Pelodiscus sinensis: one gene and its partner. The protein of the gene in region 1 purifies or fractionates together with the protein of each later gene. This does not show direct contact. Links are inferred from orthologs where the notes say so. Each region holds a gene or a part of one and is shown on either strand. Other genes may lie near its edges.

Region 1 (8,543 bases):
AACTATTAAGATTAATAAGGTAGATTTACTGCAGGGCTTGGATCTCATGTAGCAATGATTTACTTATCAGGATGGAGAGCTAATGAAATTTCCCTCCATTTAAATGATCTAAACAATGAGAAGCTTCCTGGCTGGTCTGTAAATTTCCTATCTCCTCCTTACATTTTTCTTTGGTGTGTGTTATTTGCTAAGTAGATAGCAATGTGGCTGTTTACCTTGGTTCTGCAGCTGCAAGACCTTTGTGTAGCTTTCCTGAAATGCCTTCCCAAAGAATTTCACAAATAAACAGCCATTAGGCAAGGATCTTCTCTGTTTAATTTCAGAATGCAGCGTCTCTCAAATGAGCAGAACTACCCTGTCCCTGCAATCTACTCTTCCTGCTGAACTCCCATTGAGGTCACGGGGAATTCCATGCCCAGAGGCTTAGCAAGGCTGTTGCCCTTAAACTCTGTGCCTTATATCATTCTGGGTTTGCGCAAGTAGCCTGCGGGAACAAGCACATGGCTTCTTCTAAAAACAAAAGCAAAAACCAAACATGTTCTCCATCGCCAGCCCGTACACTGTAGCCCTCTGTCTAAAAAAGTAAACTGCAAAACTGATGTCTGGGACCTTAGTACACCTGCTGATTTGCCAGGCAAGCTGCAATTGGACAGGGTTTGGGGAGGAAGGTTGAGGATACATTTCTGGAGGATTGGAAAGAGGAGAGCTGTTTTGTTGCTTTGATTTACTGGTTGGCTGAGTTAGTTAATTCATTATGTGATTTAAATGTGATTGGGGGGGCTGAAGAATGGGGTAACAATTTTTTTTGTCGGTAATTAATTGTCAGGGCACCTAGAGTTTGTATGGGCACTTTTTAATTTATTTAACTCTGAATAAGTTAAATAATGTGGCAGCGGGTCTCAGTAGGTCTGGTTGGATGATTCACAACAAACAGTATTTAAATACATTAGCCATTTAAATATATCAAGCACAGGGTGCTATTTTGGGGTTCAGTCTTGCAGCGCAAATGCACATTAGTCACCGAATCCCCTTGCTTGCGCTCTTCAGGGGAGAGTCTGGTGTGCAGCGCTTGCAAGCATGTGGCCACTAGCTCACAATTACGAAGATCTTTAACCAGAAAATTCTGCTCTCCAGACAGACCCTCTTCTCCAGCCTGCGTTCTTAAAAAAATGCTGTGGAATTGTGACAGGAAGATTGGGCACATCAAATATTGCAAATGTCACTCAATACAAAAAAGATTCTGATAAAATCCAGGCATTAGAAGAATTTAGAGAAGGAAAAATCAAAGGCTTTGGTTTGGGAGATTCCTTCGCTACTCATTAGTTCTTTTATCTTAGTACTTGCTTAATTGTATATTTGTGGTATCTACCTGATGAATGGACAGCAAGGTTGATCATGGTGCTTTCATTTTTTGCATTTCCACTGATGTAAGTAAAATATGCCTTTTTCCTAACTGTCTCTTTGTTGAAAGAAAATGGAGAGCGAATCTCATCAGGGGCTTGGGTTTGTTTTTCATTGCCCTTGACTTACCACAGTTTGCTCAATTTTTACTTTTAAAATAGGTCTGAGTACTTAGGCAGATGCCTTTTTGCGAGAGAAATGTCTTTGCTGGGTCTGGGTTAGGAGTGGGGGAGGGGGGAGATTTTTCTGTTCAAAAAGTGTCAATCAGAAGTTGCTTAGCTTTTCAGGATGATAATCTGCACAGCCTTTAAATCCGTTTTCATGGGGTTGAAGATAAGTTATAGTCCTGTTCTGAATTTTTAAATGAGCATACATCAATTTAAAATCTAAACCAGTATTTCAATTATTAGGGTACTGCATCTAGTCCTAAAATACATGGACAGTTTTTATGATTTTATTGTCATTTAGGTTTTTTTTTTTTTAATTCTCAACCCTATTATCTAGAAGAGGTGCACAAAAATTACTTTGTGGATAGTCGAAGTTCCGTGGAATGCAAAAATATAAAACGTTCCATTTTTTTTACTCCAAGTACAATTTAGATGATGCTAACAAAACTAGGTGAATGTTCAACTTGGCTGTTTTTTTCAAGTTGATGTCTCTTCAACATGTAGATGAGTCTCAAATGAGTAGGTGTTCTACAGGAGTATTCTTGACAGAGTTTTTTTTATCAAAGAATGTTAAGGAGCCCTAATGCTGTTCGCCATTGTTCCTACTGTATATTCAAAGAATTAAGTTTATTTTAGTTCTATTTGTTTGAGCTGATTACTGTGCTTGTTAAATGTCTTGTTTTTCAATTTTTTTAGTTTAGTTTCAAATTTTTACTCCTATAAAGGGCCAAAATAATGGTTGGTTAAACTTCTTTTGACATAAAAGAAATTGCACCAAGGATGAATTTGGCTACATGAGTTCACAGTCTTTGGTCCCACTCCAGAAGGAAAACTAAATAGAAGTTCAAATGCCAGTGTGGATCTCTGTTTAGGACCAGAGCCTAAACTTGATCAGAGGTGGGCCAAAGGTATTGGTATAAAGTCTGAAAGATTCCTGGAAGAAGTGAATTTTAAGGAGAGAGAGAACAAGGGAAGGGAGGTTGTTAGCAGACAGAAGCTCAATTCTCCTGATTTCCAAAGGGAATTTAAATGGCCTTTCCTTTATGTTGTTTTTTAAGTGTTTTGTGAAGTGATCTTTGGGATCCACATTGCCAGGAGATGGCTGGAGTTCTGCTCAAAGGATTGTGCCTTGTTCAAGACTAGAGCATTGGGTCTCCTGATAGCAATGGGATGCTTTGAATGCAGCAAGCATACTTTCAGATGCACTGAGACGGAGAGGGACTACAAGGAGGTGAATCTTTGTTGCAACGTAAGCATGCAATGTGCACTTGTCCCATAACACAAACTGTCTGAAGAGGCAAAACAGTTGTTCGGGGGGCACATATAGCCAAACTGGGCTGTTATGGCTTAAGGCCTGGACGCTGCCTCAGACCGTGACATGATAACGACGTTGCTTCGAAATGTCATTGTGCTGCTTAAAAATGTGGCCTATTCAAACATACGATGTTGTTGAAATGCACTGCTACAACAACCTCTCACGGGGATTGTGGTTAAAACACCACCTGACTCTGGGCCAGTGCATAATCAAAGCAGAATGCGTTGGTATCAAGGGAGGACCCGGGTTAGAGGTGGAATCCTTGTTATCGCTGTGATGCTGCCTTGGTAGATGCTTTTGATAGAAAATGTCCGTCTCACTTGCTGCCACACTGTACCACACAGCTTCCATGGAAGAACACGCCTGCGCCACATACCTCACAACACAACTGCAGTCGCCCTGACTACCGCAGCTGTCCCCAAGGAGAGTGGGATCTCATCATGGCACAGGGCTGCTGTAATAGCAAGTGGTGTACTCGCGATGTGGTCCTATCCCTGGGTGTTCCCTTATGTGTTCAGGCTGACAGGGTGCTCTACAAGGATGCTGTGATGGAGTCTCCTGGCTTGTGCAGGGACTGGGGCCTCTGATAGTAGCTCCCCCCGGCAGTGGTCCTTAGGGACAGCTATGTTTCCCATGGCTCTGGGACAGTGGCCTATGCCATCTCATCTTTGTCCCACGAGAGTGACCCATGTGATGGTGGTGCCTTGTGTGGCTCCAAGGCAGCGTCCCCATTAAATGGCAACACCTGGTGTGGCCCCCATCAGAGAGTCTGGAAGGGCCAGATGTGGCCCTGTGGCAGTGCCCCCATGCAATGGTGTTGCCTGAGATGGTCCCATAATAGTGGCTCTATGCACTGGTGGTGCCTGATGTGGCCCCATCACAGCAGCCCTATGCATTAGTGGTGCCAGACAGGGCCCTGTGCAGTGGTGGTACTGGATGTGGCCCCATGCAATGGTGGCATTGGACATGACTCGGTGGCAACTTCCCTGTGCAATGGTGGTGCCAGATGTGGCCCTGGCCTTGTGCAATGGTGGTGGCTGACATGGCCCTGTGGCAGCATCCCTCTGCATTAGTGATTCCAGAAGTGGGGCCGTGCATCAGTGCAGGATGTGGCCCTGAGGCAGTGTCCCCATGCAATGGTGTTGGCAGACATGGTCCTGTGCAATGCTGGTGCTGGATGTGGCCCCGTGGCAGCACTCCCATGCAATGGCAGTGCCAGATGTGGCCCCGACAGTGTTCCCATGCAATGGTGATGCCAGACGTGACCCTGTGGCAGTGCCCCCATGCAATGGCAGTGCCAGACGTGGCCCCGTGGCAGCTCCCCCGGGCAATGGCGCTGCTGGACGTGACCACGTGCTGGACGTGACCCCCATGCAATGGTGGTGCCAGACATGGCCCCGTGCCAGTGCCCCCGGGCAATGGCAGCACCCCCAAGCAATGGTGGTGCCAGATGTGGCCCCATGGCAGCGCCCCCGTGCAATGGCGGTGCCAGACGTGGCCCCATGGCAGTGCCCCCATGCAGTGGCGGTGCCAGACGTGGCTCCATGGCAGCACCCTGTGCAATGGCAGTGCCGGACGTGGCCCCGTGGCAGTGCCTCTGTGCAATGGCAGTGCTGGACGTGGCCCCGTGGCAGCGCCCCCGTGCAATGGCGGTGCTGGACGTGGCCCCATGGCAGTGCCCCCGTGCAATGGCGGTGCTGGACGTGGCCCTGTGGCAGTGCCCCCGTGCAATGGCAGTGCTGGACGTGGCCCCGTGGCAGTGCCCCCGTGCAATGGCAGTGCTGGACGTGGCCCCGTGGCAGCGCCCCCGTGCAATAGCAGTGCCGGACGTGGACCTGTGGCAGCGCCCCCGTGCAATGGCAGTGCTGGACGTGGCCCCGTGGCAGCGCCCCTGTGCAATGGCGGTGCCAGTCGTGGCCCCGTGGCAGCGCCCCCGTGCAATGGCGGTGCCGGACGTGGCCCCGTGGCAGTGCCCCTGTGCAATGGCAGTGCCAGACATGGCCCCGTGGCAGCGCCCCCCGTGGAATGGCAGTGCCAGACATGGCCCCGTGGCAGCGCCCCCCGTGGAATGGCGGTGCTGGACGTGGCCCCGTGGCAGCGCCCCTTGTGGTGTCCCTGGCCCAGGGGGCTAGCTGGAGCCCTGTGCTGCTCCCTCTCCGCCCCAGCCTGCTGCTGCTCTGCCCAGGCGCAGCGCGTGGCCTGTAGCACACGACGCCCCTGCCCCTTTAAGAGTCTCTTTGTCTCTGAAACATCCTTATTTACCCTCGTGTGACTCAACCAAACTTCAGCCTGCGATTCACAAAGCCCAGCTACGTCACTGGTCCGGGGTGGGGCCATCGAGTCCCCGCCCCTCCGCCCTTCTCCCCCTCCCACTCCGCAGCGCAACTGCCGTAAGCCACTGAAGTGCCTCCCAGCCGGCTACGCAAGCGACGCACACTAGTCCCGCGTTCGAAATCTCCCGCTACGCAAGCGGCGTAGGGCCGCGGAGAATGGAGCGGCAAGCCCACGCAATTCACGTACTCTAGTAAAGAGTTCGCGGTCTGTGCCGCGCAAGTGGCCTAACACGCGGGAAAGCTTCCGCGGCGCTCGCTCGCGGGCGTACCGCGCCGAAGAAACCCGCCACGCCGCTCACGGGAGCGTTGCGAAGATGGCGTAAGTGGTGTCGGGGAATGGGGCGTACAGCGCTAGAGGAGGGCGGAGAAGGTTGAGTGTGTGGCGTGCGCTCCGACCAATGGCGTCGGGGGGCGGGGCGAGGCTGGCGGCCAATGGGCGGGGAGGGGGCGGGGCCGGCCCCGGTTGGGGTGTCTCGCGCTCGGTGACAGCTCGCGCGTGCTGATGATGGCGGTAAATAAAGGGGTTGGGGGGGAGGGGGCATCTGACCCCCCCCGGGGGGAGGGGGGTTCACCCCCCGAGGCGGGCTGGAGGAAGGGGTTCAAGCCCCACACTGGGGCTGTGAGGGGGGGGGTCTGCACCCTTATTAGGACGGGTCTGGGGGCTTCACGCCCCCCCAGGGGCTGGGTACGGGGGCGCCTGACCCCCAGGGTGGGCGACTTCACCCCGAGGGGGGGCTGGGGGGTCAGGAGGGGTTTAACCCCAGTTTGGGGGTGAAGTATGAGGGAGCTTCACCCCTTATGGGAAAGCTGGGGGGGGGGGCTCTAACCCTCCCCTGGAGGCTGAGGGGATTGACCCCCAGTTCAGGGGGGAGGGATGTGAGGGGGCTTCCCCCCCGTGGAGGTTTTGGGGTACAGAGCAGGGCTGAGGGGTTGAACCCCCAATTTAAGGGGTGAAGTGGGAAGGGGCTTTACCCCCCCCCGTGGGGAGCGTGGGGTGGTCTAACTCCATGAGGAGCTGGTTTCACCCCAGTTTTGGGGGGGGGTGAAGTGCTTCATTTCTCAATGGGGAAATGTGGATTTACTCCCCACGCCGGGGGGAGCGGAATGGCTTTATCCCCATGAGGGGAGGGGGCCGTTGGCGTTCACGCACAGGTGGGGGCTCCGGGGCTTTCATGCCCACAGTAGCAACTTGAGACAAGGAGAATGAGGAGGTCACCCACCACAGTGTGAGGTTGAGAAGAAGCTGATAATGGAGGCCAAGGGAGAGTTTATGGCCCTTTGGAGGCTAGGGCGAGGTTCAGCCTGAGAGTGATAAATGTGATGGGATGCGAGGCTTAGGGAGCACTCAGGGGAACGGACAGGTATGGTTAAAAGAGCTGAAATGGGCTGGATGATTGAAAATTAGTGGGTGTAGGTGCTGGAGGTGATGGGGACTTGGGCTCATATGTTACAAGGAAGTTTGGGGGCAAGTGTTGAAGAGAAAAGGTAGGTCAGGGAACAAGGCTGGATCAAGGGAGAGGTTGGGTTGGTGGTTAAGCAGTGATTGGGGCACTCTGTGATTGAAACAGTCAAAGAACAGGCGCTAACTATGAAGAGCCCAGTGCTGAGACTATGGCTAGAGAGAGAGAGATACCGTTGTTCCATTATGTGAACTGTGGGCACTGATGGGTTATGGTGGGGAGCAGTTGGAGGTCTTGGAGTGGTGACTGACAACAGGGTGGTAAGTAGCATGGTACAGAGGTGCAAATCCCTCTGTCTGCGGGAGGTAAGATCCCAAGCTACTTTTTTCCTTACTGTCAGTGTGATGTTAGCAACTTTCTTTTTGTTATACTGTTTTAAGAGCATAGTGCTGTAGGTTGACCTGTTGTTCTTCCTTAATCCCATTGCATTTTCCTCTTTCTGTAGCAATGCACTTGGGGTAGAGGGAAACAGTAAGGAAGAGAGAGAGGGGACTCATACTAAAAGAATGATTGAAATGGTTTTATCATTTTTTTTCTTTTATTGTGTTCTAAATGTCCCCAGAAAGGTCTGGGGGAAGTTATGAAGATGGAACCATAAAAATCAAGATATTGAATGCCCTCAGGTCCCTTGTAGAATTGAGCTCTAATTGTGTAACAACTTTTCCTTAAATCCTTCTGGTTTATGGTAAACAGGATTTAAATTGTTGTGCTAATGCTGCTGTTTGAATACAGTAATTGTGAGGGTGAACATAGTAAAATGAGGGTGATGCTTTGTAAATAACAAATTCATATAATTTCATAACAACATTTAAAGTTCATTTGAATGGCCCACAAGATCCCCCTTTCTCTAAACAGAGCAATGGCAGAGTGTGTGTTGCGTGGTTTATAAATAAAATGATTAATTGAAATTTTATCCCAAACCCCAGTATATGCATACTAAGAGAAATAATTCTGTATTGTAGGGGGGAATAGACTAGATCCTCCTACTAGAGATCTGCAGTTCTAGCTCCAAACAGTAGTCCTTACTCACGTGTCCCATTGAAGTATCTGTGCTTGAGTAAATGTTGCAGGATAGAACACACAGTCTCTTTTTCTAACTACCATGATTTTATTCTCTATCTTCTAGAGGAGAGGGAACAAAAAATCTCTTTTGTTCACTTTGTTTGAAGTTTCCATCTGTTTTGTTTTATTTGGGAGGAGCGAGCATTAGGGTTGGAGGGGGGGAGTTGAGGTTGGAGGAATGAGTGTTTGCTGACAGGTTTTTAACAAAGAGAAATACAGTCTATTTGATTTAGCCTCTTGATACAAACTGTATGCTCCAAAAGCATTGCAGAGAGAGAGAAACTGAAATTAATAGGAGAGGGGCAGAATACTGGCAACTCCTTTTCTTTCTTTTGATTGTTACTGTCAGTCTTGAGAAGCCAGACTCATGTTTAAATCACATTTAAAATATAATTGCAACCTGGAGAATTGGCAGCAGCTTGAATGCGCCTCCCACAAACATGTACTTTTCCTCCATTCCCCTCTCCTCCCATTTGTAAAGAAAAGTAAACTCCAATTAAATCATGCTAAGTTTCTGGAGTGCTTTTTAAGAGATTTTAAGAATACATATTATTGGAAATACAAGAAGCTTAGTGTTCTTATAAATAAATTTGAAATTACAAATCCAATTTTAAAAGTTTGTGATATGCAAAGGTAGGATTATTTCAGGTCACCCTCCTTTTCATTTTATTTAGAAAATTTCAGATTTATTCTTTTGTTCAGAGGAGACAGTTTTGAAAATATTTATGTTGTCTGCCTTGCAGGAATCAACTTTTGTCCTGAAATCTGTCTTTAAATACATTTATACAATGTACTTGTGTATGTA
Region 2 (8,144 bases), on another chromosome or scaffold:
AGGAATGTAGTCTAGACAAGCCCTAACATACCGACATATTCAGGAAGTAGGTAGATATTCTACCCATTTTGCACAATGAGCAAAAGGAGGAAGAGAGGCTCAAGTGACTTGCCCAATCGCAAAGAGAGATACATTGGTACAGCCAGAATTGTTTATTTATAAAAACTTGTAATATAGGCCATACCTCTAGTGTTCTAATACATACAGTATCCAAAAAACTAAACATCTAATGATTTTCCCATACAACTTGACATCTGACCACCCTAAATCCCCCATTCCAACTCTTCCAAATGCCCAAGAGAAACAAACAAGGAAGATTTACTGAGCATCCGGAATACTGACAAATCTGGCAAACGAAGTGGGACAGTGAACACCAGATTGGAATAACCATGGCAGGAAATGTCTTGTTAGTAGCTTCTCCCACATAATCATAAATACCTGTTTTCACACAGCTAGAGAAGCAGTCTCTCAGGTCTGAAACCATTTCTTTAACAGGCAGTCCTTAGATTTAAGATGCAATTGGTTCCTTAAAATCTGAGTTACAAAATTATCACAACTCAAAACCACAATCCACTTGATTGTGGAACTGAGCATCGGAAAGTCGAAACAAGTCAATTCAGGAACATTCTAAGGGCCTTCTATCATGAGCCAAACGTTGTAAATTGAAGACTACCTATATGTATTTATATTTATAAAAGATACCCACCCAATGCTCTAGGTACCCTTTCAGCTATTAAAATTACAGTATCAATATATTAGTAAACAAACTGCCATAAAACTTCACTTGTATTATGCTCCAAAATAGCAAATGGCACTCCAAAGAAATGCATAAAAGTAGCCATGTTCAGGTTAAAACTTTAAAATCCTAATCTCTGCTGGAAAGGAACTAAATAGTTAGTGAAGATGGTGCAGTGAGTTTCATAAGCTCAAACTAAACTCCTATATGCAGAAACCCCATTTTGCATTAGCTTCAACTTTATAATGATCTTAAGATGTAGCATTATGGAGAATGTATTATAGTTGTATCACTGCAGACCGTCAGATACTTGGCATGGTACAAGATGAAGCACAGTAGAAAGAGGATAGTCAGGAGAAAAAAAAAATAAGGGGAGGTGGAACTGGTGACCAATATGGTGTGCTGGTCTCAACCATGTCTTCAAAAGGCTGGCTTAGGTGATGAGGCCCCTTAGGGTGGCCTGAGGCCTGGCCCAAAATTGACAGTTTCCTTTTACCACTGCAGTTCCTTCTCCTACAGCTACCCTAACAGCTCTGCTGTGAAAAACAACTGCTGAGGATGCAGGCAGAAGTGCCTTTGCTTTTAAGCTGGCACCCACATAGCCGACTGACCCTCCCCCTCTCACAGAGGCAGTAGCACAGGGAGGCACGTGGGAACTGGTGCTCAGGGAGAACCAGCTTAAAACTGATTAATTACTAGTCAAGTAGTCAAGGGAAATTCCATGGACTACTTAACAAGTAAATTAATTGTTATTTAGCATCCTTACTTCGGTGTGCAGGAGGGAGCTGCCACGGAGCAGGCTCTGGACAGGAGGTAGGGTGCAGGAGCAAGTTGGTGGTTCTGGACCATTCTGCATTTGCCTCGATTCCTGGCCAATGGAGGAAGGGGAAAAAGCCTGCAGTTGAGTGCAGGGACAGAGTTTTTCTTAACTACTGGCAATGAATGTGGATCTAGCCCAGGGAGGGGCAATGGTAGAGCACAGATCCACCTCCCCTTCCATCTCTTCCTGGCCAGGGAGAGCTGTCCCAGAATGCAGCGCTTTCGTAATCCTGTCTGGCTTCTTCCCACAGCAAGAAGCTGGGGGTCTTAAAGCTCAGAAAATGTAGTTGTACCTGTGCAAATATATATACACAAGAAAAACCAAGGTTTGCACCAATGAAACTCACCTTGCACTCTTACTATGTTTAGCTGCTGAAGAATTTATGTAGGATTTATGTACTCTAGCCATTGACATTTTTTTTATTTCAGCCTCTCGGCTTCTAAATTTAAGAATGAACTAAAACAGCTCACAGTTAGCTACAGAAGGTGGACTTGGAAAGGATGTTTAGAGCCATCCTTCATAGATTCTACTCTAAAACCAAAAGGGACCACTGTAATCATCTAGTCTGACCACTTATATATCATGGGCCATAGAACTCTCAAAAAAATAATTCTCCGAGCATCTATTTAGGAAAAAGATCAAATTTGATTTAAAAATAGTCAGTGATAGACTATCTACCATGACACCTGGGAAACTGACCCAATTTTACCCACTTCTTCTGCTGCAGGGTAGGTCTGTAAAAGGTTAACTGTGTAACTGTATGGAAACCGATGCTTATTGGTTAGCCATTTAAATGGTTTTACATTCCTAATGTATAGTACTATTTACTGTGCCGATAGTATGTGAAATGCCGACAGATAAGATATCTTAACACTAGATTCTGGATTTATTTTTGATGCCTTACCTGTTCTCGCCAGCAAAAGCAATTTATTCAAAGCCATTCCAAAGTTATGGCTATTTAAAACTAAATGTGTTTTAACAATGAAGTATTCAAAACAAAACAGTTCCAAAAAAAATCTGAATTGTATGGGTCTCGCACATAAACAGGGCAACACCCCTCATTAAATAACAGTCTGTAGAGATTAAGGGGCAGTCTGTCCATGAAGTCTGCATTAATCTTCTCGCAGGATCATCCTGAGCGGCTAAATCTTAGCTAATCTTAATGACTATTGCTCGGGGGCGGTTCCTGTCAGATGAAGACGGGGCAGGACACCGAGCGTGCAGGAGGAGGGCTGCAAGTCACCTAGCTGCTGCCATGCTCCTCGTCAGGCGCTCTGCTCGGCATCCAGCAGGACCCTGGGATTCTTTACTTCCTTGAAATGGGCAGGAGCCCTGCAAAGCCCTAAGCCCACGTCTCGTCGGAGGGGCACTGCCCTGACACAAGGAAAGGCTGCAGCAGACAACAGCTAGCGACAAAGGACAGAGCTGGGACTCCAGCGCCCCAGTATAGGGCCGGGGGAGGGGCACCAAGCCGCCCCCCCAGTGAGCAACAGCGGCTTTTCTCGTAGCCCCCCCCCGCTTTAGCCCACTGGGCCCGCGCGCCCCGCAGCCCGCAAGATGAGGCCTGGGGCCAGACTCCAGCGCCTCTCTCCGCCCGTACAGACCTGAAAGCCAAACTCATGGTTGCGTCCCCACCCCCGGCCGGACTGGGCTTCCCCCGCCGCCACCGGCACTGGACACCAGCAAGGGCGCCGCTCTAGCTCCCCTTGGAAACACGATACAATGCAGTCACTAGTAGCGGTGCTCCCTTCTGTCGCTAAGCTAACTGGCTGAGCACCCGCTTCCTCCCGCCCTCCTCTCTATCGTACCCTCTTATTGGTTAAAATGCTTGCCAGCCAATGTGACTGCCCGCCTTCTATTTAGTTTGGTTGAGGTACGCAGCTTCCGTTTTTACCCAGAATGCCCCAGGGCTTTGCATTGGCGAAGGGACGATTAAATTTCAAAAGCGGTGGGAAATGGGGAGAGTCCCGGATGTATCTTGGAGACTCCGCCCTTCCGTTGTGGCGTCAGTCCACCCTGGCTGAGCTTTGCAGGCCCGCCTGTGAGTCTGCGGCGCTGGGAAATGGTAGATGGTCATGTCTTCACATCCAGACATTACGTGTTCATTCCCTCATATTTGGATGTGCTGTAACCACAAGACCATAATGTGCTACTGGAACAATAATAGAAGTAAATAATGCTCAGCATTCCCCTGCTATCGCACACCTATCCAGTGTAATCCACTGGAAAATGTGTGTGTTGTGGTTCCTTGTAGCACAGGTTGGTCTATATATTGAATAATAGCATTTTTTTTCTACCAGTTCCTTGTTCCACTTCAGTTTTAGAGCTGTGGATTGAAGGTTGCAGTTGCTGGTATCTGAAATAGATCTGTATGAGGGTGAAAATAGGACACGTACCAACTCCCGCCAGGCTGTCCTTTCCCCCTTCCCCCCCAGTGCTGTGCCTCTGTATCAGAGGCAGCAGTGCTGCGGCAGGTGGGCAGTCAGCTCCAATGGAGCCACCTGCCATCCCCTGTTGCCTCCCACAGAGGCAGCACTGGCGAGGGGGTGGGGGGGGTAGATGGAAGCTGGTGCTTGGGAGGGAGCCAACTTAAAAGCCAGCTGCCCTTCCCCCCCTGCAGTGCTGCTGCCTGGGTGGGAAGCAGCTCTGCAAGAGCTGGCACACATGGAAAGCCAACTTAAAAATTGGCTCCTCCATGTACTGGCTCCCACTTGCTTTCTCCCTTCCCCCGGTAGGGGGAGTGGCTACTGTGGAGCTGGCACCCACCTCTTCCTGCTTCTAATACGGAGGAAGTTGGGAAGGTGCATGTAACCATCAGGAGGATTAAGCAGTGAGCCCAGAATTATCGGTAAATAGGTATACGCTAACATCTCTAGGTGAAAACTATGCATACATTTATACAAGTTAGTATGATAATCATTAAATAATTATCGGGATTATTTGATATTACAAAACATGCGATTGTTGTCCCTTTTCACCTGGTCAGCAGAAAGGGCCCTGATGATATTCCAGTTAGGAATAAAAGTTGAAGGAATCTTGTTTATTAACAGGGAACATACAAAGTCCTGTGATTCTGTAGGTAGAATCAAGAATACTGTACAGTCTCCAAGTCTCTTTAGTCAAATCAGACCCAAAAGCGTGCTCTAGCTTTTTCCAGTCACACTGTACCACATGATCCTGCTTGTCTTTCTTGCTTCTCCTTCCCTCTCTTTTTGTCTGTTTTCTGTGTCTGTCTGATCTCTCTTCTTACTTACATCGCTGCCCAAAACAGCATTCAGCCAAAAGCCTTGAACGAGTTCACATATACCTTCTGTTTCGTGGGGGGCTTCTTCCATTATAGTGGTATTAATTGAAAAATAAATTCACACCTATTTATCTCAATGGGGTTTTAATAACTCAACCTATGACAAGGTTTTACTCAGTTTATAACAGTATTTAGAGGTGAATTTAGATTTTTTTTTGTTGCAATTATCTTTGGTTAATGGGAGCTGCCCTCTGATGGATAGAATGTTGGAGATTTAGAAAGTTTGTGAGAGAGCAATAGGTGGGAGAGTTTGCCAGAGTCCCAAAGATGATTCTTGTGTAAGTTCCAAAAAAGCTCAGAACTTAATTCAAAACTTCAAACAAGACTCAGTTCTCAGAGGTGAAACATTAGCACTAATAGGATGCCTCTGGGTATTGCTAATGAACCTTTTGCCTGCAGGTTCCCAGCTTGAATCTTGCCCAGCTCAGAAGCAATTAAAAGTTGCTCCTATTTAAAAGATGCTTGGTAGTCCCTAGATTAGATGAGTTTGGGGAGTTCCAGTGATGATCTTCTGTATCATTTACCATGTTGCCTGTTCTTCAAATTTTATTGTGAGTCTTTGGTGTAAGTCCTAGTTCCTTGTGTCAGGTGACTTGACAGAATCATTTATACCTGAGAAAAACCTTGAAAATATGACTAAAGTGTATCGGTAAGACTAAAAAATGAGAAAAAAAATCCCAAAATTATCTGAAAATCTCTCATAATTTTAAACTCATTTTTTGTATTTGAGGAACTGACTCAGCTTAGCTATTACACTCTCGGGCAAAGAATGGTAGTAAGGGTATGTCTACACTACCACCCTAGTTCGAACTAGGGTGATTAATGTAGTCATTTGAAGTTGCAAATGAAGCCCGGGATTTAAATATCCCGGGCTTCATTTGCATCTTGCCGGGTGCCGCCATTTTTAAATCCCCGTTAGTGCGGACTCCTTGCCCGCGGCTACACGCGGCACGGAGTAGGTAGTTCGAATTAGGCTTTCTAATTCGAACTACCATTATTGCTCGTGGAACGAGGTGTAACGGTAGTTCGAATTAGAAAGCCTAATTCGAACTACCTACTCAGTGCCGCGTGTAGCAGCGGGCACGGAGTCCGCACTAACGGGGATTTAAAAATGGCGGCGCCCGGCAAGTTGCAAATGAAGCCCGGGATATTTAAATCCCGGGCTTCATTTGCAACTTCGAATGACTACATTAACCACCCTAGTTCGAAGTAGGGTGGTGGTGTAGACATACCCTAAGATATTCAGGGCAGGGGCTGGGAGCTTGTCTGCATAAGGGGTTAATTAGCAACTTTTTGCTGTGTGTCACGTAATGCATAGTGTACAAAATTATATGCCTTCTGACAATGGAAATTACTGTGTACACATAGTGGCAGTTTTTGGTGAGAACTGAGGACATGGTGTTCTCAGAGGTTATCCAATGCTTTTTTGCTTTGCTGTGGAGCAGTGTATTCTGGGGAGTATGTCTTGGCTCTGTCTTTTCTTGTTTGTAAGGCCATCAGAACCTGGAGTTCCATATGTCACTGTTCTGTGTCCTGAGCTGGAGTCTGAGGGTAATTGCCTTTGGGAGCAGGTACGGCAGGGAAGAGTTGTTCTCAGTAGCTTGTATTGTCCAGGAATTGGATAACATGACTGGGTGTTGGTTTGCAATAGTATTGAATTACCAGTATGTGAAGTACTAGGGCACTTTGTCTTTTTATTGCCTCCGGGAGTTGCCTCTGCATATTATTTTTTCCCCATATTGTCTTTGGTAATGGCAGTGCTTTTTGTGGCAACTGTTATGTTGTCCTTTTCCAGTGCCATAATCTCCCAGGAAAGATTTTTGTCACATTGTTTCTCTGTCCTCAAACGCTGTCTCTATCTGCATTTTTCAGTTTTTTGGGTGCGGTCTGTGTTACAATGTCCATGAACATTTCATCATGATTTCTCTCTTTGCTTTGTTAGAAAAGTATGTAATGCCAATGCCTGTCTCGTGTAAAGTGAGAACACTAACCAGACTTCTTTTTCTCTGACTGCTGCCTTAGTAAACATTATGGCTATGTCTACACTGCGCATTGTTGCGCAAGAAGATATGCAAATGAGCTGCCATTTTCTTTTGCGCAAGAAGGAGCTGTCTACACTGCTCCTTCTTGCACAAAAAAACCCGTCTTGCGCAGGAGCCGTTCTTCCTGAAAATAAGCGGCAGAACGGCTCCTGCTCAAGAGGGTTTTTTAGCGCAAGAAGGAGCAGTGTAGACTGCTGCTTCTTGCACAAAAGCCCCTTGTGCAAAAATAGTGTCTCATTAGGTACGCAAATGAGGTGCAGCCAAGAATGCGCAATGTAGACATAGCCTACGTTTTTCTCAAAATAATGTTTTCATTATTTGAATCCAGTACTGCAGGAGGGGGAGGGGGGAAGGATTAGGCTAGTGAGTGGACCGCATGTGTAGCCCTCCATCTCAGTGGGCAGCAAATTTGTCATAATTAAGATGATCTCCTGGGATAAGGCAGTTTTGCTAACAGCATTTACGTACTTAGATTTTGTAGGGTATGCTGATTAAACCATAGTAGCATTTTGATTGGATGCAGAAGGAGCACACAACTCTCACAATCAGTGTTGCATGCAATCAGCAGGCACCTCACTTCATGTACCCTTGCTTTTAAGTGCATGTCACTGATATTCTGAAAATCTTAAGTAGTTAGGGCTTCATCATGAGATCGGCTAAGTATCTGGCTTCTGAGTCTCTACCATTTGGAAAAGGACCATGAGTGATGGAGGGACAAATAGCAGCATGGGCTGATAGCGGGAACAAGGCAGGAAACTGGAACTAATCTTCTAGCACTCGTCCACCTAGAATGGATGTGGCCATTTGGCAACTGGAAAAGAAGCTAGCATAACACTAACATAATTAAAAATATTAAATAAAAAAATTAAATATTAAATTGCAAAAATTAAAATAGATATACATGCCAAGGTGTACTGCATAGGATCTAATTATTCAATCTTGTTTAGGGTCTCAGAACAGGTCCAAGATTTGAACAGGTCCAATTTGCTCAAGGCAGATTGTAGGACTTTTGGAATATTATCACCGCTATTATAATAAGATTGACTACAGGAGCAAACAGACAAAATCTGCTGTGCTCCAGCTTATAAGGAGACAGAACATCTGGTCAACTTGATACCAGAACAGGAGAGGGCACACAAGTAAACAGATGGGTCATCTGGGTAGGATAAGCATTGGAAAATTGCCAATGCAGTTTGTAGCACCATTGCCTACACACGAACAATAGACTGAATTCATGTGATT

What was found.
Region 2: the proteins of USP49 (region 1) and CETN3 purify together in Homo sapiens (affinity purification with mass spectrometry; 4 studies listed by BioGRID and IntAct, with this or other methods). This does not show direct contact. The link is inferred for Pelodiscus sinensis from reciprocal best matches to the Homo sapiens genes USP49 and CETN3.

What each region holds. Positions count from the first base shown.
Region 1 is NC_134737.1:9,530,794-9,539,336, forward strand, and holds the start of USP49 (ubiquitin carboxyl-terminal hydrolase 49), read left to right. Parts: upstream 1-5,145; 5' UTR 5,146-5,535; intron 5,536-5,640; exon of another isoform or gene 5,641-5,727; intron 5,728-8,543. UniProt on the Homo sapiens protein: Deubiquitinase that plays a role in several cellular processes including transcriptional regulation, cell cycle progression or innate immunity.
Region 2 is NC_134716.1:74,601,232-74,609,375, reverse strand, and holds the start of CETN3 (centrin-3), read right to left. Parts: upstream 3,319-8,144; 5' UTR 3,178-3,318; coding exon 3,161-3,177; intron 1-3,160. UniProt on the Homo sapiens protein: Plays a fundamental role in microtubule-organizing center structure and function. As a component of the TREX-2 complex, involved in the export of mRNAs to the cytoplasm through the nuclear pores.